7 linked regions of the Rattus norvegicus genome follow. The protein of the gene in region 7 interacts with the protein of the main gene of each other region in a pairwise test. Links are inferred from orthologs where the notes say so. Each region holds a gene or a part of one and is shown on either strand. Other genes may lie near its edges.

Region 1 (4,185 bases), about 31 Mb from region 7:
TCTACTTAAAGAAAAATGCCCGGGACGTGTTTGGGAGGGGGAATAGCAAGTGAGACATGCTATCCAAAAAGCACAGATCGCTTTCCAAAATGCCCCTGATTTCAGAGTAGAACTGTAGACACACCCTTTTAAAAAAAATAGCTAGAAGAAAAGCTGGCCAGCTTCCCGAATTTCACTGAACTCAACTGGGCTGGGTGATGACGGCGATCTTCATGTGGTGATTGGACAGAGAGGAGCCTGAGGGACCGGCATCTTCCTAGATGCTGGAAACTAGCCAGCTCAACCACACCAAGCAAAAGCAGAACGAAAGTGGGAGGGAGGGAGAATAATCAAACACACGTGAGGGCAATTCTTCCCCAAATGCAAAGCGCAAGTGTGTTTCCCAAAAGAGAAAATGCCAGCAGAGGCAGTGTGGAAACATCCCAGCCTTTGGCTCCTACAGATGGGAACTGCACCAGTGACCTCTTTGTCCTGGTATTGGACATCTCCTTCCTTCGGTCCACTGCGGTCCCTCTAAGCAACTGTACCTTATTGCTAAGGAAGAGGAGATGTTTTTTAAGTAAAGAGGAATTTTCTCCCTCACGGTGTTATTTGTGAGTTTCTTGGTGGCCTCAGTTCTTCCGAGATGTGACGGTGCAGTGTGTTAGCAACCCCATGCCATCTGGCATCCTCATATGAGGACCATTGGAGAACCAGTTTACATGACTTCATGATGACAGGCCACCCAACCTTATCTTTTATTATCCATCGATTTTTCTTTTATCACTTGAATGTCCTGATGACATATCTGCAGGGGATCCCACTCCCCCTTCCAAATCATTGGAGAACCAGTTTACATGACTTCATGATGACAGGCCACCCAACCTTATCTCTTATTATCCATCGATTTTTCTTTTATCACTTGAATGTCCTGATGACATATCTGCAGGGGATCCCACTCCCCCTTCCAAACCCATGCACATCCCTCCGCCACCCCTACCCACACTCCCCCTCCACCGGTAATGTAGAAGACCAAAGAGGAGTTCTTTTCTGCAGCTTCACATTACAAAGGAGTGATATCAAAAAGAGGTTAGAGAAAAACCTTAAAAAAGAATGCTTGCCTAAGAATTTAAAACTAAGAAAACAAAGCAGGAGAGATTCTGAATGACCTTTTAAATAATTGGATTACTAGGGATTCACTCCTGTAATTACAGTGGATGGTGTGAGCACGGAAAAAAAAAGAGTAAAATACAACAGCATGTAAGGAATTTCCTCTCACCAAATTGTCTCCGGTCCCTTAATGGTCTGTAAGTCTTGCTGAGTACTTTGTGTACGGTCCCTAGCGTGCTGATTTGCATCCCACTCTCGGCCTTGCTGTTGGCCGGCGCTCGCAGCTGTCTCAGTCCGCTTCTGGCTGAGAAAGGTAAGGTTCGGTTTCCTTGCTCTTTGAAAGATCTGGGAGAGACTTGTCGAATGCTTGCCGGCGGGGTTCGCCCTGGGAGGACTGTTACCATTCATGCACTCGGAAGCCTTCAGAAAAGTTTTCCAAACTTGAGCCTTCACAAGCCCTGCACTCTAAAAAGAACCAGGGAGATTTCCTCCTTCTTCTGCACAGAGAGCTTGCAGAAAAAAAAAAAAAAAAAAAAAAAAAAGACTGGATGCATTGTGATGAAAATTTGCACGTGGGGCCAGGTGTCCAGTAAGCGATTCCCCAGGGAGCTTTATACCAGATAGGCACTGTCTGGGCGGAAGACTGGACATTCAAAGGCATTTTGCATGCGTTGCTGTGAAATTCCTTTTTATTTCTTTTTTTCTTAAGAGATAAGGTTGGTTAAAGATGCTTGTGTCCTTGATGCTTCTTCTACCTCTTCTGGCATGCTTTCTGATTAATCCCTGAGTTTTCCATTTCTTTAAATTTACCGGTTCCAACCAGGAGTCGTCTGATTTTGGAGACTGGCATCTTCATACCTAGGCAGATGCCTTCACATTGTGCTGGGACAGTGGCATGGGACACCACACCTGAAACCAGGAGAAGGCTGAATCGTCAGTGTTAGGAGTAGCAACAAACCTGTGGCCTTCCACCCTGGGGACACAATTCTGTTCACTGTCTCTCCTTACTGCTTCAGCCCCTGGGGTGGGGTGGGGTGGTTCGCTGTGGGCAAGGATGCCTCTCTCCCCTCTGTAGGTTCATTTCCTTACCTTTGGCTTAGGAAGCAAGGGGAAAATGGTCTTCGGTAGGATAAGGTGATGTTCAGAGCTTCCTGGTTGCTATTGGAGATTTGTTTGATTTGCAGAAAATGGCCTTCAGTAGGAATTAGGAAGGACTTGCCCCAAAGGCGAGAGTTCTCAAGTGGGAAGACGTTCTCTTTGAGGGCTTCTTCTTGATGTAGCCTAGACCCCAGGTCACCCTCTTCTGAAATGCCATGGTTCCAAAGATGCCCAGACTCACCTCCAGTGATGTCACTAGCTATATGTGAGACTCCATTTCTCTAAGACTCACGTTGGAAGCCGTGAGGATGATGGCATTCTGGGTTTCCAAGTGGCCTGCAAGTGGCCTCCTCCTATACCCAGCATGTTGGACCTCTAACTCAGACAGGTCTCGGGGATTTCTCGGTGTGATCAACTGGAACGAAGGAACACTTGCTCTGGCTCACATAGGAGGAAAAGGACTCCTGGTCTCTCTGCGTCACCTTGGGGAGGGCTGAGCTGGGAGGGTGAGAGGTCCAGGAGGTAAGCCAGTGGCTAAAGAAAGCTAGCATCCCTCAGACGGAAAGACAATGCTATTCTGTCATTGACTCGAATGAGTGAACTATAGCGGGATTTAGTAAGACTTGCACAGAGGAAAGGAATCATGGGATAGCCTTTAGACACAGGGACAAGCTCATCACAGTGCCCTTATTTTGCCACCGACATTTTCCACCCCAGGCTTTACGCTTTTTAAATACTTACAGTTTCAAGTGGCTTTACTCTAAGAAAGCATGAGCCTGTCGGGTCATCGATGATGCCTTGAGTTTATTCTTCGAAAGAATACTGTGCCGTGTGTGTGTGTGTGTGTGTGTGTGTGTGTGTGTGTGTGTGTGTGAGTGTGTTGGACTATTTAAGATGTGTTGTTGGTTAAAGTGGAACCAAAAACAGCAGACTTGGCATAGGTGGGCTTACCACGAAGCTACTTATTCAGACTCTTCATTTAATAAGCTCAGTGGGTGAGAATCAGTGGGTGAGCTTGCACCATTTCGTGACTGAGGTCCAGTGGGCCTGGTGGTGAAGTCTGTGACTGTAGCTACTGAAGAAACTGAGGCATAGGGATTCATGGGTCAAGGCAGAGAGTGGACTGGGAATATAGCAGAATGATAAAGTACTTACTTAGTACATACGAGACCCTGGGATCCATCTCCAGTATGGGGAAAAATGTGACTGGGGTCTGAAGCAAGAGTTTCTTTGTGAACTTAAGTCATATTCATTTACCTCTGCATGTCCCCATAACTTCACTTACAAATGAATGAGAATTAATACTAACATGTGTCAGTCTTTAATGTCATACCACACCCATAGTAGGGGCTTTGTCCAGAGAGGCAGTGTTGCTGGTGACGGTGGTGGTGATTCCAGGTTTGCCAAAGCCATTCATCCCCCAGCACCTTAAGCAGTAAGCAGTCCTGCTTAAATCAAGTTAACCAGGACTTCCCAGCATAACCAGGAATGTAGTATTTCCCGTCCTCCTCTTCTGTAAATGAAGGAACATGAGGGGAGGGGCCGGCTCACACATACATGAGTGGAAAACTGTCAGAGTCTGAGGCTCTGGTTCTTTGCTGACCTAGAGGCTGGGCTCAGCAGCTTGAGAACTCCACAGCTGTTCCTGTCTCTGAGGAGCTTCTGTTCCCCGGTTCTGTCAGTCAGCTAGGTCTGCAGTGCTGACTCTGGGATTCTCTTATGAATATGCCTGATGGGCAAGCCAGAGGAAGATCTAGAAACACCGAGTAATTCAGAGCAGCCTGCTTAGTAAATGGTGGGAAGAAAAGCCGACGCTGGCTCCTCTCTCTGGGGACTGTGAAGTGATGATCCGGAATTACCATGTCCCTGAACAGAGCTGGAGCAAGCCAAAACTCTGAATCTGCTGGCAGTGAAAAGAAAAAGAAAGAAAGAAGAAAGAAAGGAAAAAAGACAGGGAGAGGCATGCTAGAGGAAGAGGGAGTCAATTGAGAGGGGAGG
Region 2 (2,281 bases), on a different chromosome or scaffold from region 7:
TGCCTGCTAGCCTTGAGTGTGGCAAGCACCTTTACCTGCTGAGCCGTCTAAACATCCTCAAACTGATTTCCATAAACAGGAAATCTTTCTCCAGTGCAGCCCACATCTTTGTTTGTCTGTTTCCTATAGTCTCATTCTGCAATCCAGACTGGCCTATAATTTACTCTGTAGCCCAGGTTGTCTTTGAGTTTAGGCAATCTTCCTGCCTCAGCTTCTCAAATGTTAGCCACCAGACCCAGCTTTGGGAGATGTTCTTTTTTTTTGCAATAGTCTTCGTTGGTTCCTCTGTTGTCTTCTAAGCTGTCTGTCTCCACACACAGAGAAGGCATAGGGTACCTGGGAGCGCTGTCCAACGCCTGCTGTAGTGAAGAAAACTGGACTCAGAGCTAAGGCTCTGCAGGCCACACGCTCCATAGCATCCTCAAAGGGCAGTAGCCGGAGATAAGGGAGGTTTACAAATGGAGAGGCTGTGGAAGCAGGAGGTCAAAAGGCAGGAGGACAGGCTCCCTCCTTTGGCTGTGGTCAGAAGGTGGGCAAGCCCTGGATGCACAGCCTAACCTGGGACAGGTGGCTCAATCCTGCAACCTAGGGAAAGTCCCCACCACCTTTTTGGGCCAGCGGTAAAATGGGGCAAATAACCCCCACCCTGGTAATCCCACCCAAGAAATACAGAGCTGGACTGGGAATATACTGGCTTTGTAAGTGTCAGGGGAAACTTTTAAGTTAATAAGCTTCAAGGAAGACCAGGAGGCTCCAGCCTGGGGAGTGTCTATGTTCGGCTGCCCAGAGGCCTGTCTTGTCTCCTTCACAGGCGCAAGGAGCGACAGCGTTTTGCCGAGTACCAAGCAGAGCTCCAGGGCATCCAGCATAGAGTGCAGGCCCGGCCCTTCCTGTTCCAGCAGGCCATGCAGGTGAGGGCACAATACAGGCCCACCACCACCACCAAAGAGCTGCTTCCACAAGTGTGTATCGAAACAAAGGTGGAGTGGGGTCCTATCTGTCCCCCCAGAAGGCCTGGGACCCCTTCTTAATAATCTGAGCCCCACAGTGACCCCGGCAGCCTTGGTGAAGGGTAGGAACCCTTTTTTTCTCCCATCAGACCAATGCCAGGCTCACAGCAAACCGGCGCTTCTCCCAGGTGCTGTCAGCATTGGGAGTGGATGAGGAACAGCTGCTGGCTGAGGCAGGCAATGCAGAGGGCATCCCCCGGAAACACAGGTGAGATGGGACAAGGTACCCTTCCAGTTCTCCATGTCACTCAGGAAGGTGAGCCAGGGCTACTGTCCCCACCTTCCAATGAGACCAGAGTAGGACCTTACTTGACACAGGAGTAAGCAGTAAAGCTAGTCCTGGACTCTGAGCAATCACCCTTGCGCCAGCAGCTGGTGTCGTTCTGTCACCTTTCAGGGTGTCCCTTACCCCTTAGGGTAAGTAATCTGGTACAGAGCAGGGACTGTAAGATTCACTTCACAGTAAAACAACCAACCAACCCCCAAACCACTGAGACTGCAGGACGGGGTGTCCCTCTCCAGTGTCACACAGCAACCAAGCATAGGACTTAGATTTAGACCCACAGGGTAGAAGTTTGCACTGGGCATGGAATAGGGTGCTGTGGAGACCATTGGCCTCCATCTGTGTCTTTAAGGAGCTACCGGTCATTTGGAGTAGAAATGGAGTCCTCTCCTCAGAGTCCCCCAAAGACAGAGCCAACCAGCAGCCAGCCTGGAAGACACCCTTCCCCAACCCTGGACTGAGAGAAAAATTAAATGCTTTATGGCCAAGTACAGAGTAAGATTTCTGAGGCGAGCTGGCTGTGGGCTGAGTTGTTTGAGCTGTTTACCCCATACTCTGGAAACCCAGGCTACACCTTATCCTCAGCAAACATGCGGTTTCTGCTTCTGAGGAGTGGGACACCTGAAAGGAATCCGCCGAGACTTTCCCATGTTTTCTCCAACACACGGGGGGGGGGGGGGGGGGTAGACACACACCTAGAAATCTTAGAACAGGACATTGCTTCTGAACAGTCTTGGAGCGGAACTTTAAAGGAGCCCATCCCCCACACCAAAACACACCAGAGATATGCTACACAGGAAGCCCAGAGTAGCAACGACTATCAGAAGTGTCTGAACCCTTACCCTAAAACATCCTCTCCTTAAGACCCAAACCAAACAAGCAATCAAACAGAAACCCTAAAAAAGGCTGGAAAAGCATTGTGGCTTATGCCTGTAATCCCAGCCTGGGCTACATAGTTAATGGGCCAGTCTGAAAGGAAAAAAAAAGA
Region 3 (3,500 bases), on a different chromosome or scaffold from region 7:
AGGAAAGCAAGTCGAATCATCCTTTGACCCCCTTCAGCAGCCAGGCTCTGCACCTGTTCATGCTCTAGGATGATCGCTCACCTCCATATCCTTACCAGAAAATGTGGAGGGAAGATAGGGCATGGTTGTTTCCTTATGGCCATGATCTGGAAGTTGAAAAATGTCACTTTGGTTCATATTTTGTAGACCTTTGTAGAACAAACTTCCCCCTCCACATAGCATTGGGGACAGCTAGGAAATATATATTTCATGCTGGCATCCATGTCCCCACACATGATTTGGGGTTGGTTACTAAAGTGGTGGAAGTGGGTGTTGGGGATAGCAGCAGAGTCTGCCTCCCCCTCAGTGGACACCTACCCTCCATGTCCCATTTAGACATTATCCATAAGTTCATCCGGGATAAATACTCAAAGAGATTCCCTGAGCTAGAATCCTTGGTGCCCAACGCTCTGGATTACATCCGCACAGTCAAGGTGAGTGGAGAGGAGTCTGGCTTGGGAAGAACTGAGGCCACTAGACCAGGAAGCCTCAAGTCTAGAAATAACGGGGCTCAGTGGTGAGAGACAGATACTGGAATGGATGTGTCATACACATCCCTTGCTTCCCTCCTCCCCTTGGTTTTGTGGGAGGATAACCACTGACCTGGCCCTTACTTCTAGCTGCAGTTGGAGCAGGAGTCCTTTGATCTGGCAGAGGCCACAGCTGAATAAGAGCTAAGACCCTGAGTGGGAACAAGTAAGGATGAAGTCAGAAGGGGCAGGGAGGGAAGCTTAGAAAGGTCAGAGAACATTAGACGTAGAAGGTGTTGGCTTCTCTAGAAGTGATGGGAGCAGGTGGAGGTGAAAGAGCAGGGGTCCTGTCTCTGCCCAAGAGATCAGGATGGTGGCAGAAGAAGTCTTGTCTGTGGAAGAAAGTGCACTTTTGAAGGCCTCTTTAGTGCACATGTCTTCCTTGGAGGCTGCTCTGCCTAGGTTCTACTTCTGCATCAGCAGAGCAGAGTAGGCAGCACTGATGCTTTAGGCAGGGATGTTGTAAAACTGTAAAAGGCACGAGAAGTCTCCAGTATATGGACCTTAGCTTTTCCAACTTCCTCAAGGGGAGACCTGTGTTAGTGTTCCTAGAATTTCTTTTTCCCCTTCCTACCCCAGGAACTGGGCAACAGCCTGGATAAGTGTAAGAACAATGAGAATCTCCAGCAGATCCTGACCAATGCTACCATCATGGTTGTTAGTGTTACTGCCTCTACCACCCAGGGGTATGTATGCCATATGGTAAGGTGCAGCAAGCCTACAATAGGACAATTAACAAAAGAGAGAGAGGCAGAATGGGGGTCATGGTCAAGGTGGTGCTGACTGAGAATTATGACCCCTAGGCGGATGGAATTTTAGATAGTCCTAGAGCTACACAAACACACTTGCATACACAGCTGAGAGGGTGGGTGGGACTGAACACTAGTTAGAACTGTACCTAGCAAAACTGGGGTCTGTTCCCAACCCTTACCTGCCCCACAATGCAGGCAGCAGCTGTCAGATGAGGAACTAGAGCGACTAGAGGAGGCCTGTGACATGGCACTGGAGCTGAATGCCTCCAAGCACCGCATCTATGAGTACGTGGAGTCCCGGATGTCGTTCATTGCACCCAACTTGTCCATCATCATTGGAGCTTCCACGGCTGCCAAGATCATGGGTGAGGTCCCAGCTAGGTCCCTTTGGCTGAGGCTGCTGATAGGTTAGGTTGCCTTGGGGAAGTGGGGTTTGGCCTTAGCGCGATTGTATTGTCCCCTGAAGACTGAGATCAGCCAGCTTGGTATGTACACACGATAGAAGCATAGCAACTCCCTTCTAGGTTTAGCTGGCTGGCTGAATCAGGTTGCACAGATGGCAAGCCAACTTCTTCCTGCCAATAGGCCCATTTTAGACCCTGGAGCAGCCACAGAGTACTGATGTCAGCTCAAGCTTTCCTACTGGATAGGGCAGCAAACCCTGCCATGTGCTATGCTCTTTCTCCTGGAAGCTCCTGTAGCAGAGTCCTTTCCTTCCTTGCAGAGAGATGCTTGCAAAGGGAATATGGGAAAACTTACCATCTTTGCTCACTGAGCTTCAGGCTTGAGTCCCACAGGCCAAGATGCATATACTCCTGAGGCTACTGTTTCAGAGCTGGCAAGTCTGAGACCAAGTTGCTGTGAGACTTCTCCAGAGGCCTCTGCTTGGCTGTGTAGCCACACCACTTGTATCTGTATCCTTATCTCCTTTTCTTACAAGAATGCCAGTCAGATAGAGTCAGGATCCATATGACCTCATTTTACCTTAGTCATTTCCTTAAAGATTCTGTGTCCTGAGCTAGAAAGATGACTCAGCTGGTAAAAGAATTTGCTGCCCAGGCTTGACAACCTGAGAACCTGAGTGTGGTGATTCCCCCAAACCCACATACAAGAGGGGAGAGCTAAGTCCCATAAGTTTCTGATCTCCATGCACACACCCTACTTATACATATAAAATAATAAAAATAAAATCCCCCTCCCCACCAGAAAAGATCCCATGTCCTGCTGGATACAGTGACTTATACTAGTAACTGTTATTTGGAAGGCTGAGGCAGGAGGGTTGCTTTGAATTTGAGGCCAGCCTTGGCTACTGAGTGAAATACTTGATATCAAACCAGCCAACAAATGAAGGTGCAAAGTTGTCTTAGTCACTGTTCTCTTGCTGTGAAGACACAGCTGGGGGCTTACTTACACTTTTAGAATCTTAAGCCGTTATTATCATGGCAGGGAGCACAGCAGCAGGCAGGCATAGTGCTGGAGATATAGATGAACCACAAGCAGAGAGAGAGAGACATTGGACCTGGCGTGGACTTTTGAAACCTCAAAGCCCACCCCCAGTGACACACTTGTTTCAACAAGGCCATGCCTTCTGAACCTTCTAATCTATCAATGAGTTTTACTTTGTGGTGACTGTATGAGCCTATGAGGGACATTCTTACTTAATCCACAAAGGTATACATGAGTTCCTGGATGTAAACCCTGTGTTCTGACCTCACCTCTTTTTGCAGGTGTGGCTGGAGGGCTGACCAACCTGTCTAAGATGCCTGCCTGCAACATCATGCTGTTGGGAGCCCAGCGCAAGACACTGTCTGGCTTCTCTTCTACCTCAGTGCTGCCTCACACTGGCTACATCTACCACAGTGACATTGTGCAGTCTCTGCCCCCAGTGAGTACTTCACCTTGACCCCTAGCCCCAGCCACTAGGCCTTATCTGGCTTGGCTGGCAATAGCCCTCAGGCTCCTGGAGGATGAGGCAACATGGTTGGAAGAGCAAGGATACTATTCTGGGTCTGCCACTTGGCAATGAGGATGGTTGGGTGGCTGGAAACCAGGGGCAGCTAGAGCATACCCCTCAAGAGGCAGTTATTAGGAAAGCGCACAGGCATAAGGCCTACCTCCCAGAGTCTGGGGTATGGCTGGCCCTAGATGAGAAGTGATTATTGTAGTGGCTGTTACCTTT
Region 4 (3,500 bases), on a different chromosome or scaffold from region 7:
CAGTATGGGAAGCCCACCGTGTTCGGTTCCAACAGGCTTCGTTTCTTTTGCTCAGTTGAGTGACTTAGACCAATCATTGAGTTTATATCTGCTCTCTAGGTCACATTTTTTAACCTGTAAAACAGGGTCAGTCATTCTTCCTGTGCAGAATTGTCGTCAAGCCTCCGTGAAATGATTTCTGACTGTGATTCCATTCATCTCTCTGTCTAGCCGTCTGTCCACTCATCCTTCCACCTATCTGTCTTTCTATCCATTAATCCCGTCACCATGAACTGGGCCTCTGTGCTAGCCTTGTCTGCAATATAGCAAGTGCCCAATTTAGAAAAATAAATGTGTAAATGAAGGAGTGTTCCCTATCTCCTGGGAGATCGCATTTACTAAGGTTGTAAAGCAGACATAGTCTTTGGTGGTAGATGCTATGCTAGGGAGATGTGAACTGAAGGGCTCAGAGGAGCTCTGGGCCCAGCCAGAGGGAGGGTAGAGCAATGCTAGATCAGAGTTGTACTTGGTGCACTGGGGTCTCTTACATGGGAGAGGGAGGTGAGAGTGGGTGATCCAGGCCAAGGAAAAGACATGGGAAGGGGGAGAGGATAGCTATAGGTGGGTCCACCCAGAAAGAAGGAGGTAACATGAAGCTGGAGGAAGCAAACTGGGACTGGAAAGGGACCACCACCATAGTGTTCAGAAGACCCTTTGGGCTCTGTGCGGAGGAAGGTGGATTGGAAGGGAAAAGGCTGGAAATGGGACACCATTGGCAGGAGAAGGGGCCTGGATGAAGGCTGAGCCCTCTGGGAAAGAAGCATGCAGATTTTTTTTAGCCAGTTGATGAGTCAACAGGCTGGGCTCCAGAATGACTTTCTCTCTGTGTCTTTTAGATCCAGGACACAAATGACATCAACGACATCACATACGCAGACCTGAATCTGCCCAAAGAGAAGAAGCCCGCCCCCCGGGTCCCCGAGCCCAACAACCACACAGAATATGCAAGCATTGAGACAGGCAAACTGCCTAGGCCAGAGGATACCCTCACCTATGCTGACCTGGACATGGTCCACCTCAACCGGGCACAGCCAACCCCCAAGCCTGAGCCATCCTTCTCAGAGTATGCCAGTGTCCAAGTCCAGAGGAAGTGAATGGGGCTGTGGTTGGCTCTAGGCCCCATCCCCACAAGTTTTCTTGTCCTACATGGAGTGGCCATGATGAGGACAACCAGCCAGCCAGCCCTGTCTCCAGAAGGCCAGGTGGCACAGGTCCTAGGACCAGGGGTAAGGGTGGCTTCTGTCTTCCCTCCGTGGCTCTCCAACACCTCTTGGACACCCATGTCCCCTTCTTCTGGAGCTGGGTGTTGCAGAACCAGAGGGGGAACTGGAGAAAGCTGCCTAGAATCCAAGAAGCGTTGTGCCTCAGCCCATCACACTGGGTCTGGATCCTGGTCTTGGCAACCCCCAGGTTGCTTCCTTGATGCTCCAGCGCCTGGTCTTCTGTGTGGAGAAGAGTTCACCATCTCCATCCAACTTGAGCTTCGGGGCCAGACTCCCTTTAGATCAGACCGCCCCATGTGTGGAAGAACTACACCAGGAGTCAACAAGTTTTCAGCCAACAGTGCTAGCCTCCCCACCTCCCAGGCTGACGAGCCCTGAGGAGAAGGAACCCTCTTCCCCTAGACCAGCAGAGACTCCCTGGGCATGTTCAGTGTGGCCCCACCCTTCCAGTCCCAGCTCGCTTCCTCCAGCTAGCACTAACTCAACAGCATTGCTCTGTGGACGCCTGTAAATTATTGAGAAATGTGAACTGTGCAGTCTTGAAGCTAAGGTGTTAGAAAATTTGATTTGTGCTGTTTAGTTGTTGTTGGGTTTCTTTTCTTTTCTTTTTTTTTCTTCCTTTTTCTTTCTTCTTTTTTTCTTTTCCCCCTTAAAACAACAGCAGCAGCATCTTGGCTCTTTGTCATGTGTTGAATGGTTGGGTCTTGTGAAGTCTGAGGTCTAACAGTTTATTGTCCCGGAAGGATTTTCTTATAGCAGAAACAGATTTTTTTTCCAATTCCCAGCACCCTGAGGACCAAGAAGGATCCCTCTGTTGTCATTTTCAGCACTCAGCGTCACTGGGATGAGCCAGGCTCTGTCCCCACAGCTGGCCCTTGGCCTCCATGGCTACTGTGGTAAGTGCAGCCTTGTCTAATCCAGTGCTGACGTTGGCCATTCCTCATTGAGGAGAGAAGGTCAGTGACAAACTCACAAGCACTGCAGAGGCATACGGAGAGAAGGGACGCTCGGCCAGCACCCGGTATTCCAGCGCTCTGAGGTAATCAGTGCAAGGAGTCTGTTATTACCATCAGACCTCAGCAGGATCATACTGGAACAGAACCTGATCATACCTGTGACAACACAGCTGTGAGCCAGGGCAAACCACCCCACTGTCCCAGAGTCTGGGCAGAGGCTCTGACCCCCACCCTTCAAACTGGATGTCGGGGCCTGGCTGGGCCCAATGGCAAGCAGATGTTGCAACCCTAGCTATCTGGTCTTAACATGCAGCTCAGTAAGTTGAGGCGCTAATGTCCCCCCATGCCGGGGGATTCCTGGTTCCGGCTCTTCAAGTAAGAAGCTGATTCAACCTGCCTGTTTCTGTAGGTGTGACAGGGATGTCAGGAAAACAGCCAGGACTCATCTCTATAGGGCTGGTGACCTGATACTTCCCATAAAGGCATCCAGGAGTTAGCTGACCCAATAGTCAGAGTTGACCTCACTGGCCTAGCAAACCGTAACTTGTCTTTGGCCCAGCCATGGTCTTGGGCTGTCTTCTAATTCCAAAGGGTTGGTAGGTAAAGATCCATCCTCTTCCCCTCTGCCAAGAGACATCACGTGTGTACACACACACATGCGCGCGCGCACACACACACACACACACACACACACACACACACACACGGGTGTATAGGTGAGTTAAAAGGATGTCCTCGCTGACATCCTAATTTTGTCTTAAGTTTTTTTGGAGGGAGAAAGGAAAGAGGCAGGGAAGATACGTAGCTCTAGCTTTAGTCAGGCAGCCTGGGGGGATCCCCAAGCCTATGTATGGAACCCTGGTACGAAAGCGCCCTGTGAGGAGTGGGATTTCAGTTTTATCTGTAGACCAGATGAGAAGGAGAAAGGCCCCATTTTGTACATAGTTGCAACTTAAAATTTTTGGCTTGCAAAATATTTTTGTAATAAAGATTTCTGGGTAACAATGATGCCTTGGGGTGTTTCATTTTGTCTCTGAAGCTTTGTCCTTGGAGTCTGCCAGTTGCCTGTCCTCTGGGGCTGGGGGTGAGGAGGGAGTGTGCCAGGGCTTCAGAAAGTTCTGTATCACTTGGTCCTCTCTAGTTTTTACAGAGGCGGAGGTTCTGTTCCCTTGGCTCAGAGGGAGTCATGGCTGCATCGGTCGTGCTGAAAATTCAGACACAGACTCTCTCCACTGCCTCAGTGTCGTGGGGATCTAGACAATTCACCCAGCACTGGCTACCT
Region 5 (3,500 bases), on a different chromosome or scaffold from region 7:
ATGAACAAATAAAAAAACAAAAACTTCATTTTGGACTTACTAAGTGTGGTACCCAATGGAAGTGTCATATTTGTGAAGCAAGTGTTGGGGCTATAGGTTTGGGCTAAGGATATGCACTGGGAGTCACCAAAGGACCACAGTTAGGAGGTACACAGTCAGCAGTGCAAAGCTGTCGGGTAGTTCAATGAAGAAAAACCAAGGAGGAGGCATTAGAAGGAGCAAAGAGACAGGAGAGAAACCACCAGACAAGAGTGACCCAGAAGCTGGGAAAGAAAGGGTGCCTGGAGGCACAAACGATGGCACTACAGTTTTGATAAATGCCCCACAAACACTGGTCACTGAGGATGGTCTGACTTTTAGAGGTGGCAGGACATACATGGAGTCACACCTGTGACTCCCTCTTGCACCCTCCTCTCTGCTGTAGCTAAAACTAATGCAACCAAAAGATACAGCAGAGGGTAGTGGCTGTCTTTACACATCCTAACACGTATGTTGATGTGTATCCTAACACGTATGTTGATGTGTACGGTATGATGAGGAATAGCCTGCAGCACAGGGATTTGCTCTGCACTGAAACTCCTTCCAATATCAATGATTCCACAAGGTTCCGACCTCTACAAAGGCTACGTGTCAGGCTCAGCAGTCCCGTGTGAGCACCCATGCTTCTCCTGGGTGGGTTCCTTCTTTTCCAGAGGTCGTGGGGCTTTGGTTTCCTTCAGATCCCCATTAAGATAAGGAATATGCATGAAATTCTCATTCCAGCATAAGGGTATATGAGGGCTGATATTTTAACTAAAAGAAGGCATCAGATCCCATTACAGATGGTTGTGAGCCACCATGTGGTTGCTGGCATTTGAACTTATGTCCTCTGGAATAGCAGTCAATACTCTTTTTTTTTTTTTTTTTTGGTTCTTTTTTTCGGAGCTGGGGACTGAACCCAGGGCCTTGCGCTTCCTAGGTAAGCGCTCTACCACTGAGCTAAATCCCCAGCCCCCAGTCAATACTCTTAACCACTGACTCATCTCTCCAGCCCAAAACTGTTTAAATAAAACAAAACAAAAAAAGAACAAAAGCAGAGGACGCTCGGCAGCAGCACAGCATCTAAGCTAGCAGTACCTGGCTCTGGAAGGAGTCACTCTTCCAAAGGTCACTCGCATCCACAAATATAGGAACTTTCTGGCCACACACCTGAAAAGAAAGGACACACAATTCTAAACTCTACCTTGTCAACATAAGCTTTCTGGAAAAGAAAGGGAACCTTTAAGGTGTCGAGCGAAGGAACCATCGTCTGAATGAAAAGATGATGCCATAGTTAATCTTGCATTAAACAGAAAATGGAGAGGACAGGTTTATAAAACTAAAATCAAGCTGGGCAGTGGTGATGGACCCTTTTAGTCCCAGCACTCAGGAGGCAGAGGAAGGCTGATCTATGAATTCAAGGTCAGCATGGTCTACAGAGGTTCCAGGACAGCCAGGGCTACACAGAGAAACCCTATCTTGAAAAGCAAAACAGGGGTTGGGGATTTAGCTCAGTGGTAGAGCGCTTGCCTAGCAAGTGCAAGGCCCTGGGTTCGGTCCGCAGCTCTGAGAAAAATGAAAGAAAAAAAAAAAGAAAAGCAAAACAAAACAAAATTAAAATAAAATCATGCAGATTTTTTAAAGCACTTTCTTTTTGAGTTCAAGGTTTTGCTTCACATGCATCTCTCTGCTGCACTCCACAGAAAACAATCTCTGCCTCCTGAGTGCTGGGATTAAAGACCTGTGCCATCTCACCTGACTCTGGGTCATGTTTGCTTTGGTTTGTTTTGTTTTTTTTTTTTTTAAAGATTTATTCATTTATTATATGTAAGTACACTGAAGCTGTCTTCAGATACACCAGAAGAGGGCATCGGATCTCATTACAGATGGTTGTGAGCCACCATGTGGTTGCTGGGAATTGAACTCAGGACCTCTGGAAGAGCAGTCAGTGCTCTTAATCACTAAGCCATCTCTCCAGCCCACACATTATCTTTTTAATCCCATTTTGGCTTGAAGGGAAAACAAATGAAAAGTCTCACCTGACACGCAGTTCTCGTAATCTCTGTGGAGTCCAACTTTGTGAGGATTGATAGTACGAGGAGTGGCAGCTTCTAGTTAACTCCCTCTGGATCCCAGAGAAGGCAGAAGACTTTTTGAGGGGCAGTGCCTTTGGAGAACAAGGTTTCTTAACCACGCCATCCCTAAAAGACCTTATTTGAGCAAGCAGAGAGGAAAGGAGAAAGTTTTTCCATACAATATAACTACATTGTAACATTGAACAAAGCTACACTGTTACACCCATGGAGAAACACTGAATATGCCCCAGACAGAAAGCAGCATGAGCAGCAGCAGCCAGCACTCCAGAGTCAGCTCTACGGTGGGAGGCAGAGAACTGCCAAGTGGGTCTTCAGGCCTAGTATGGTCTTCAGGCCTAGTATGGTCTTCAGGCCTAGTATGGTCTTCAGGCCTAGTATGTTCTTTTTGGTTTTAGAGACAGGGTTCTCTGTGCAACCCTGGTTGTCTGTCCTGGAACTCACTCTGCAGACCAGGCTGGCCTGGAACACACAGAGATCCACCTGCCTCTGCCTCCTGAGTACTAAGGTTAAAGGTGTGCACCACCACTACCAAGCAGGTCTAGTATGTTCTTTAGTTAGCTTTTATTCTATTGTAAAGGGGATCATTTACACAGTACAAATAAGTTCCTAAGTATAAACCCAGAAGACGTGGGTTACATTCCCAGCAGCCACATACATGGCAGCTCAAAACCTTTTGTAACTCAGGTTAGAGGATCTGAGATCGCTGCCCTCTAAAAGTCCCAGACATGCACTGGTACACACACACATATGCAGGTGAAACACCTGGACACATAAAAATAAAAATTTTAGCTGAGTGGTGGTGGCACACCTTTAACCTCCGAACTCAGGAGGCTGAGGCAGATCTCTAAGTTCAAGGCCAGCCTAGCCTACACAGTGAGTTCCAGGACAGCCAGGGCTATAAAGAGAAACTCTGTCTTGAAACCAAAATAAATAATAATAGTAATAATGTTTTTATATAAAAGTCTGAGGGAGGGGCTGGAGAGATGGCTCAGTGATTAAGAGCATTGACTGCTCTTCCAGAGGTCCTGAGTTCAATTCCCAGCAACCACATGGTGGCTCACAACCATCTGTAATGAGATCTGATGCCCTCTTCTGCTGTGTCTGAAGACAGCTACATAAAATAAATAATTTTTTTAAAGATACATTTATTTTATTTATATAAATACAGGAGCCCTTTATAGATGGTTATGAGCCACCATATGATTGCTGGGAATTGAACTCAGGACCTCTGGAAGAACACTCACTTGTGTTTTTTGGGTTTTTTTTGGTTTTTTGTTTTTTCGGAGCTGGGGACTGAACCCAGGGCCTTGCGGGCTAGGCAAGCGCTCTACCACTGAGCTAAATCCCCAACCCCTTCACTCGTGCTCTTAACCCCTGAACCATCTC
Region 6 (4,270 bases), on a different chromosome or scaffold from region 7:
GTACCACAGAGGTTCTAATGTAGATACCCTTCCCACATCCTGGTCCCTGGGTAGCAATGGATAGGCCCTTCCTGTTGCCCAGGAGACAGTCAAGTACTGTGCCTGCCTCCAGGTGTGAGAATTGCCTCCTGCGCTTCCGCACTCATCGCTCGCTCTTCAAGCATCTGCATGTTTGTATAGACCATGGTCAGAACCCAGCCCCGCCACCACCCCCTGCCCTGGACAAAGAGCCACCTGTACCTGAGCGTCCCCCAGAGTCCGACCCTTCGTCCTCCCTGGGCCTGCCATTCCCACTACTTGAGCCTTTCACCTCTGCCCCCACTGGGCCCTTCCTTCCTTACTTGAACCCTGCACCCTTTGGCCTGAGTCCCCCGAGACTGCGCCCATTCCTGGCTGCCACTCCAGGGCCACCGACATCCAGCACTGCCATCTGGAAGAAGAGTCAAGGTGAGTATAGGAGCAGGTTGCCTACAAAGCTGATTGAGCCTACTTTTATTCTGAACTTGAACTGCTTCTTTCCTACAGGTGCTACCAGTAGTCCTAGAAGACCTCAGGGCGGCTCCGATGCGCCCTCAGGTGCGTGCAGGTGACCACCAGGGACGGGTGGAGGGGCCCTTCATTCCTGTGCCCTAAGTGGGCCCTGTGAATGCTGGAAAGCAGCGGTGACTGTCCCTTAAAATACATGATTTTTGCCTTTCAAATGACTGGTATCTATGCCTTCATCTGGTATCTGTGCCAGTGTTCCTGTGTAAACATTTGTGTCTTGTTCTGTCTCTGAGTGGTTTTCTTCTATGGTGGGTCCAGGGATGGGAGGCAAATGTGGTACCTGCTGTGATGGGTAGTCAAGCCCAGGGAAAAGTCTAATCTGTCCTGGTTGACATCTACCATCCATGGTTGAAAGGCTCTCTGGAGGGAGACCCAGGACTCAGAGGCCTGCCTGCCTGCCTGCCTGCCTGCCTGCCTGCCTGCCTGCCTGCCTGTCTGCCTGCCTGCAGGGTACATGGCCCCCAGCCACATTGTGTGCGAACACATAGATGGCTGATATTCGTGTATACAGTGTGACTTCTTCACAGTCTCTCAGTCTGCCATTATACTGCACCTGCAGGACCACCACCCTGGCTACCCCACAGCCTGAAACCTGGGTTCCTTGGTTCCAACACCCAGTTGGGTAAGGCTGAGGAATGTTCAGGCACAGGACTAGAGGCAAGGGATGAGGCACAGGCTCAGGTGACCCCTCCTCAACTCTACACAAGACCCAACCCTGTTTGCTATTGAGGTGTCACAGTGGTCAGAGGGGGAGAATCCAGTTTTATCACAGCTTTGAACCAGCTCTGCTGGGCTAAGTTGTAGGGGATACAGAGATTTTTGTAATTTGAGGAAGAAGGGGACAATAAAGGAGGCACGTTGAGCCAGTGTGTGCTGTGTCTTGGGTCCCTTGCCCCTCAGATTTTTTTTTTAATGTCTTTATTTTATTTTATTTTATTTTTTTGGTTCTTTTTTTCGGAGCTGGGGACCGAACCCAGGGCCTTGTGCTTCCTAGGCAAGCGCTCTACCACTGAGCTAAATCCCCAACCCCAAAAAGTTGTATTTATTTATTCTATATAAGTACACTGTAGCTGTCTTCAGACACACCAGAAGAGGGGAAGAGGGCATCAGATCCCATTACAGATGGTTGTGAGCCACCATGTGGTTGCTGGGAATTGAACTCAAGACCTCTGGAAGAGCAGTCAGTGCTCTTAACCGCTGAGCCATCTCTCCAGCCCATGTCTTTATTTTTTTAAGAGAGAGTGCAAGTGATATGTGTACAGAAGTGTAATGCTTGTGAAGGCCAAAAGAGGGTATAGGATCCCTAAGCATTTGTGAGCTGCCAGCGTGGGTGCTGGGAACCACACTTGCATCTTCTGTAAGAGCAATATGAGAGTGAACTTTCTGTTAGTGTCACAGTTAATCTTTTTTTTTTTTCATTTATTTCAGAGTTAACGCTTATCTGCTGAGCCCTCTTCTACAGCCCCCCCCCCCCCCCAAATAAGCACTAGGCTGCTACCTATGGGACTAGGGTGCTCACACACCTTGGGAGGGGGACTTAAAATTGGCTTCACAGAATCTGACTCTCATCAGAACTCCTATTTTCCTGGCATCTCAGCTGTGGAATCCAGATCTGCAGCTCACTGCCCACCCTAGGAGTAGTCAGTGCCCACTGTTCTGTTCTACAACTTCCAGAACCAGATAGGTTTGTTATTTTCCCAGATGGTTTTCCTTTATTAAAAACCCAGGCATAGTGACACATGCCTTTAATCCCAGCACTTGGGAGGCAGAGGTAAGTGGATCTGAGTTCATAGGCAGCCTGTTCTACAGAGCTAGTTCTAGGACAGTCAGGGCTACACAGAGAAACCCTGTCTTGAAAAATAACAAAAAAGAAATATGGGGGTTGGGGATTTAGCTCAGTGGTAGAGCACTTGCCTAGCAAGCGCAAGGCCCTGGGTTCAGTCCCCAGCTCCGGAAAAAAAAAAAAAAAAGAAATATGGCTTACCATGCTCAAGTGCTTGCCCATGCAACCCTGATGGCCTGTTTGAGTGGGGTAGAAAAAAAAGAAAATCAAGTAGCCAAAATTGTCCTTTCATATATTAAGCCCTGAGCTTAAAGCATGGTGGCACACATCTTTAATCCCAGCACTTGGCAGGCAGAGTCAGGCAGATCTCTGTAAATTCAAGGCCTGATCTAAGTGACAAGGTCCAGGCAGGACACATAGTGAACAATGTCTCAAAAAAATGAGGGGGAAAAAAGCCCCATGGTATGGTAGCACATGGCACATCCAAGCTCTTGGAAAACAGAGAAGGATCATTCTTTTTAAGTTCATACCAACTTAGACTACAAAGCAACACTGTCTCAAGAAATTTTGTTTTTAAGTATCAAGAATTAGGAAGGCAATGTGGAAATCTAGGTCTGAGTAAACCCTGCTCCTGAGGCCAGTGGGTTCACAGAGATGAAAGCCTTGGGTAGCTATAGTTGAGTTGGGTAGGTCAAGATGGAGAACTGAACTTTATCAGCATCTTCCTTGCAATCAGCAGACCTTCTGTTGCTGCTGGCATCTACCCCAACCTGTATTCTGGAGAGTTCGGGGTCCATTTGAAAATGCACTATGGATGGGGATGTAGCTCAGTATAGTACTTGCCTAGCATGCACAAAGCCTTGGGTTCTTTCTATCAACACCACATAACTAGGCTTGCTAATAAGTGCTTAAGTTCCAGAACTAGGAGGAGGTGGGTGTTAGCACTCTCTAAGTTCCACCCCTACAGTTAACCTGGCAACAGCCAGGCATGCCTGACACTATGAAAAGGGCTGCTTGCCCCTTCCTCTCTTCCTCATGCTCTCTTGTTCTTACCCCTCCCCCTTCTCTCCACGTGCTCATGGCCGTCCTCTACTCTTCCTCTACTCTTCTATTTCTCTACTTCTCTCTCTGCCCTACTACCCTCTTAATTTCCCTCCCCATGCTGGCTGGTCCCTCAGAGGGAAGGGATGTCTCAGCATGGGCCTGCTGAGGCACCCCCTTCCCCCAGACCCCCCCTAGAACATAATCCCCACCCTCTCCTTTATCTTTTATAAAACACATTGGTAGGGCTGGAGAGATGGCTTAGAGGTTAAGAGCACTGTCTGCTCTTCCAGAGGTCCTGAGTTCAATTCCCAGCAACCACATGGTGGCTCACAACCACCTATAATCAGGTCTGGTGCCCTCTTCTGGCCTGTAGTTGCATACATGCAGGCAGAAAGCTGTATGATGTATACATTAAAAAAAAAAAAAAAAAAAAAAAAAAAAAAAAAAAAACATTGGTGCTGAAACCCAGGACATATCCTTATCTTTTAATAAACACATCAGTGGGAGTGTGGACTCTGGAGGATTGGGGGTTCAAGGTCATCCTGGCTAGATATGGTATATGTCTATACCCACCACTAATCCCCCTGTCATATATATCCACAAAGAAAACATGGTGCCTTACTTCTGTTCCAGTCCAAAGCCAGGCTGGCCATGCCTCTTGGAAATAGAAGTCCAGTGTGTTGTTCTTCCATTACTTAGAGGTTGGTTCTAACCTCTGTCTAGCTAGGGTAATCCCCTCCTATCCCAAAGAGCCTTTCACTAGTGCTCCTTAGTATCCCTCATAAGTCTCTGGATAAAGACTCCTTGGGCTGGAGAGATGGTGTAGTAGGTACAAACAGGATCTGAGTTTAGATTCCCAGTACCTATTTTAACACGATACGGTAGTACATGTCTGTA
Region 7 (3,500 bases):
TCTAACCCTAACCCTGACCCTGAGCCCTGATGGGTCTGACGGGAGAGGTGGGTGTCATAAATGCTTCTGGTTGGTTTGAGCACAGAGGCTGGCTGCCACTTGTTGAGACAAAGAACACGCACAAGGAAACACAGTGACGGATTGTTGTGTGAGGTCCCCTGGTTTATCCAAGACCTCTAGACAGGAACCTGGAGCTGTCACTAAATCCCGATGCAGGTCCCCAGAACCTTGACAACAAAAGCACAGTAGAGACAGGACCAGAAGGTGGCAGCACAGGCTTGATGTTGTATAGAACTCTGCTCTCTGGTGGCCACAACCTGCAGAACTTACTCTGTGGATTTTGTTCAGAAAAAACCAAACCAAAACAAAACAAAACAAAAAAAACAAAAAAAAAAACAAAAAAAAAACAATGTTTCAAGATTCTGTGTGTTTGTTGTTGTTGTTTGGTTATTTGGTTGTTTGGTTTTGAGTCTTTTGAGGCAGATTCCTAACATGTAGCCAAGGCTGCCTAGAACTTGAGGGGATCTTCTCTATCTTTGCCTACCAGGTTCTTTCTCCGTTTACAGGTAGTTCCACCAACTCACCACCCTCCTTTCTTTTCCCCTCCCTCCCTCCCTCCCTTCCTCCCCCCCTCTCTCCCTCCCTCCCTTCTTTCCTTCCTTCCTTCCTTCGTTTCTATGCTTGGAATAGAACCCAGGGTACCACACATGACAGGCAAGCATTTTGCCATGATTTTATAATTATAATAATGACTTTAATATTCTGATTCCAGTAAGGGTCAGTCGTGTGACTACATATTTCACATTTACCTCTCAAGGGACTGAAAGGGGAAACATAACTTCTAGTTGTGCCTTTTGCAGTTTCCTGAGTCAGAAAGTGAGACCTGCTGCTGCAGTGCTCACACAGTGCACCTGTTTGTCTGGTAGGGGTGGGGGCAACTCCCTCAGAGCTACATCTGTGCTCCCTCAGCCTGTCCTTCAGGGCTGGAGTCTGGTGGTGGGCAGCACAGGGCCGGGCCCAGGACTAGAGGGGCTCCCATGAGTCCCTGAGCACTCAGTCTTCCCCAGGGGCTCTTGCTCTATGCTGATCAAAAATGAGACAAAGGTACCTGACCCCAGTAATAAAGAAATTAGGCTTTTTGGTTCACTGGTAGCTGGAGAATCCAAACACTTTTATCAGCCAGTGACCCCATAGAGGGCCTCATCATGTCAGAAATGAAAAGGAAGTGTGTAGAAGGGAATGTATGCTATCCTGACAGCAATGCTAACTGAACTGCAAGAATTATACCAGCCATTCCTCAGAGAGAGGCTTCTTTTTTTTTCTTTTTCTTTTTCTTTTTCTTTTTTTCGGAGCTGGGGACCGAACCCAGGGCCTTGCGTTTGCTAGGCAAGCGCTCTACCGCTGAGCTAAATCCCCAACCCCCAGAGAGAGGCTTCTTAAAGTGGTTTCATTTATGACCCCATTTTGCCTGAGAATTTTTGTTGTTGTTTCTTTGGTTGGTTGGTTTGTTTTGTTTGTTTTTCAAGACAGGATTTCTCTGTGTAGCCCTGGCTGTCCTGGAACTTACTCTGTAAATCAGGCTGGCCTTGAACTCAGAGATCCGCCTGCATCTGCCTCCTTAGTGCTTAGATTGACGGTATATATTGATATAGATACATAGATCTTGAAGAATGTTATAGGAAAATATAGTTAAACAGTTTTGTATGTAGAACAGAAAACTTTGTGTGTACAGATGTTGTAATTCATTATGAGCAGTGGTCTCACACCTGAGCTGAGATGTTTGCAGCGGCTGCTCTCCTCTCTTGACTCTTATTCCAGGAACTGCTGCAAGAATTTGAATCTGAAGCTCAGAGAAGGGAGCATGAGTTCCAACTGAGAGCTGATGACTTGAGCAACACTGTCTTGACCCACGAGCTCAAGGTAACTGGCTGGGCAGGGTTTTTGAAGTGTTTCCAGTTTTCAAGTTCACTGTTGCCAGCTTTAATTACCCTGTACTACAGAACACCATGCTGTTCTTTAGTTAGTTAGTTAGGTTTTTTTTTTTTTTGTTTTTTTTTTTTTTGAGACAGGGTTTCTCTGTGTAGTCCTGTCTATCCTGGAGCTAGATCTGTAGACCAGGCTGGCCTCGAACTCAGAGATCTGCCTCGAACTCAGAGATCTGCCTGCCTCTGCCAAGTGCTGGGACCACACCAGGTTTTGCACTGTTCCTTTTTGTTTGTTTGTTTGTTTGTTTGTTTAATATTGGGAGATGCTTTTCTCTCTTTATTTTGCACATATCTGGTATCCGGTACTGGGGGTTGAACTCGAGACCTTGTGCATGCTAGACAAGTGCTCTGCCACTGAGTCCTAACCAGCTCAGCTAGAAGCCATACTGTTCCTTTTACCCATTTACTCTCCTGGAACTTTTCAATCTCCCTCAGGTAAAGCTGCTAAACAAAGAGCTTCAGGCTTTAAAAGAAGCTGGAGCACAGGCAACAGAGAGTCTGCAGAAGGCAGAATCAGAGCACATTGAATTAGAGAGGAAGCTACAGGATCATGCCCGGGAGCTACAGGATCTGGAGGCCATGAAGGATGCTCGGTGCGTGGGTTCTGCTCTCAAGGCATTGTGGCCATAAGGACTAGACCCTGGTGGCGCTGCCTTCCTGGCTTCTTCCAGTTCTATTCTTTGGTCTCTTATGTAACTGCTCTTCTTTACTGACACAGTTTCTGTTTAGGATAAAGGACTTGGAGAAGAAGCTTCACTCTGTACAGCTGGCCAAGAAGAAAGCTGAGGAGACTTTCAGGAGGAAGTGCGTATTTCTGCCTGGGTAGTGCCTCTGGAAAAGAGTCTGGATCATACTCTCTGGAGACAAGAGCCCTGTGACGGGGTAGCCTGAGCTGGGATACCACTTTGGTTAACTCCATGCTCTACTTCCTTAGAAAGGGTTAGGCATCCAGTGTCTCAAAGCTTAAAATGTTTGAAGGGCCAAGACTCCAGTCCAGTTCATTGATAAAACACAAACTAAAAATGTCTAAAACTCTGGATTTAGTCTACAGTGTCTAAAACAGGCTTTAAAATATAACCTTAGTTAAATTTTAACTTTTATGGGTAAATGAGATGGCTCTGTGGATAAAATCACTTGTCAACATGGTGGGTGACCTGAGTTCCATCCCTGGAACCCACGTGGTAAAAGGAGAGAACTGGCTCCATACACACACCCCACACTAGATAAATACATATTTTAAAATTTAGCATTAACATTTAAAACTTGAATGTTCTACTCACTAGTTTATAAGTTGTAGACTATTAGCCCCAAGCTTTGCCATGCTGACACAGTCACCTGGTTGGCCACACCCCTTACTCTCAGATGCAGACTCTCTTGAGTTCTCTTTTTCCTGTTGATATACCCTGTACTCAGTGTGGGTTGGGACCCAGCCAACAGGAACAGGCACAACACCCAGGAAATAAATAGTATGTTGGCTCAAGGCGGAACTTCAGCAATGCAATTAAAGCGTTGTTC

The links.
Region 1: the proteins of Ccdc57 (region 7) and Tmem100 interact in binary tests that used the Homo sapiens proteins (3 or more experiments, as listed by UniProt). The two-hybrid records come from large-scale screens. The link is inferred for Rattus norvegicus from reciprocal best matches to the Homo sapiens genes CCDC57 and TMEM100.
Region 2: the proteins of Ccdc57 (region 7) and Tsga10ip interact in binary tests that used the Homo sapiens proteins (3 or more experiments, as listed by UniProt). The two-hybrid records come from large-scale screens. The link is inferred for Rattus norvegicus from reciprocal best matches to the Homo sapiens genes CCDC57 and TSGA10IP.
Region 3: the proteins of Ccdc57 (region 7) and Prpf31 interact in binary tests that used the Homo sapiens proteins (3 or more experiments, as listed by UniProt). The two-hybrid records come from large-scale screens. The link is inferred for Rattus norvegicus from reciprocal best matches to the Homo sapiens genes CCDC57 and PRPF31.
Region 4: the proteins of Ccdc57 (region 7) and Sirpa interact in a two-hybrid assay, tested with the Homo sapiens proteins (2 studies listed by BioGRID). The two-hybrid records come from large-scale screens. The link is inferred for Rattus norvegicus from reciprocal best matches to the Homo sapiens genes CCDC57 and SIRPA.
Region 5: the proteins of Ccdc57 (region 7) and Sfi1 interact in a two-hybrid assay, tested with the Homo sapiens proteins (2 studies listed by BioGRID). The two-hybrid records come from large-scale screens. The link is inferred for Rattus norvegicus from reciprocal best matches to the Homo sapiens genes CCDC57 and SFI1.
Region 6: the proteins of Ccdc57 (region 7) and Pram1 interact in binary tests that used the Homo sapiens proteins (3 or more experiments, as listed by UniProt). The two-hybrid records come from large-scale screens. The link is inferred for Rattus norvegicus from reciprocal best matches to the Homo sapiens genes CCDC57 and PRAM1.

What each region holds. Positions count from the first base shown.
Region 1 is NC_086028.1:75,350,506-75,354,690, forward strand, and holds the start of Tmem100 (transmembrane protein 100), read left to right. Parts: upstream 1-1,385; 5' UTR 1,386-1,402; exon of another isoform or gene 1,403-1,414; intron 1,415-1,441; exon of another isoform or gene 1,442-1,805; intron 1,806-4,155; exon of another isoform or gene 4,156-4,185. UniProt on the Homo sapiens protein: Plays a role during embryonic arterial endothelium differentiation and vascular morphogenesis through the ACVRL1 receptor-dependent signaling pathway upon stimulation by bone morphogenetic proteins, such as GDF2/BMP9 and BMP10.
Region 2 is NC_086019.1:212,129,421-212,131,701, reverse strand, and holds the end of Tsga10ip (testis-specific protein 10-interacting protein), read left to right. Parts: exon of another isoform or gene 1-359; intron 360-811; coding exon 812-911; intron 912-1,099; coding exon 1,100-1,218; intron 1,219-1,645; coding exon 1,646-1,754; 3' UTR 1,755-1,781; downstream 1,782-2,281.
Region 3 is NC_086019.1:74,496,423-74,499,922, reverse strand, and holds part of Prpf31 (U4/U6 small nuclear ribonucleoprotein Prp31), read left to right. Parts: intron 1-375; coding exon 376-473; intron 474-1,148; coding exon 1,149-1,255; intron 1,256-1,516; coding exon 1,517-1,686; intron 1,687-3,048; coding exon 3,049-3,206; intron 3,207-3,500. UniProt on the Homo sapiens protein: Involved in pre-mRNA splicing as component of the spliceosome. Required for the assembly of the U4/U5/U6 tri-snRNP complex, one of the building blocks of the spliceosome.
Region 4 is NC_086021.1:137,308,054-137,311,553, forward strand, and holds the end of Sirpa (tyrosine-protein phosphatase non-receptor type substrate 1 precursor), read left to right. Parts: intron 1-875; coding exon 876-1,133; 3' UTR 1,134-3,226; downstream 3,227-3,500. UniProt on the Homo sapiens protein: Immunoglobulin-like cell surface receptor for CD47. Acts as docking protein and induces translocation of PTPN6, PTPN11 and other binding partners from the cytosol to the plasma membrane.
Region 5 is NC_086032.1:82,262,712-82,266,211, forward strand, and holds part of Sfi1 (protein SFI1 homolog), read right to left. Parts: intron 2,229-3,500; coding exon 2,058-2,228; intron 1,189-2,057; coding exon 1,117-1,188; intron 1-1,116. UniProt on the Homo sapiens protein: Plays a role in the dynamic structure of centrosome-associated contractile fibers via its interaction with CETN2.
Region 6 is NC_086025.1:15,124,343-15,128,612, forward strand, and holds the start of Pram1 (PML-RARA-regulated adapter molecule 1), read left to right. Parts: upstream 1-1,470; 5' UTR 1,471-4,270. Other genes in the region: Zfp414 (zinc finger protein 414), read left to right, coding at 113-590. UniProt on the Homo sapiens protein: May be involved in myeloid differentiation. May be involved in integrin signaling in neutrophils. Binds to PtdIns(4)P.
Region 7 is NC_086028.1:106,670,727-106,674,226, reverse strand, and holds part of Ccdc57 (coiled-coil domain-containing protein 57), read left to right. Parts: intron 1-1,818; coding exon 1,819-1,920; intron 1,921-2,420; coding exon 2,421-2,578; intron 2,579-2,714; coding exon 2,715-2,789; intron 2,790-3,500. UniProt on the Homo sapiens protein: Pleiotropic regulator of centriole duplication, mitosis, and ciliogenesis. Critical interface between centrosome and microtubule-mediated cellular processes. Centriole duplication protein required for recruitment of CEP63, CEP152, and PLK4 to the centrosome.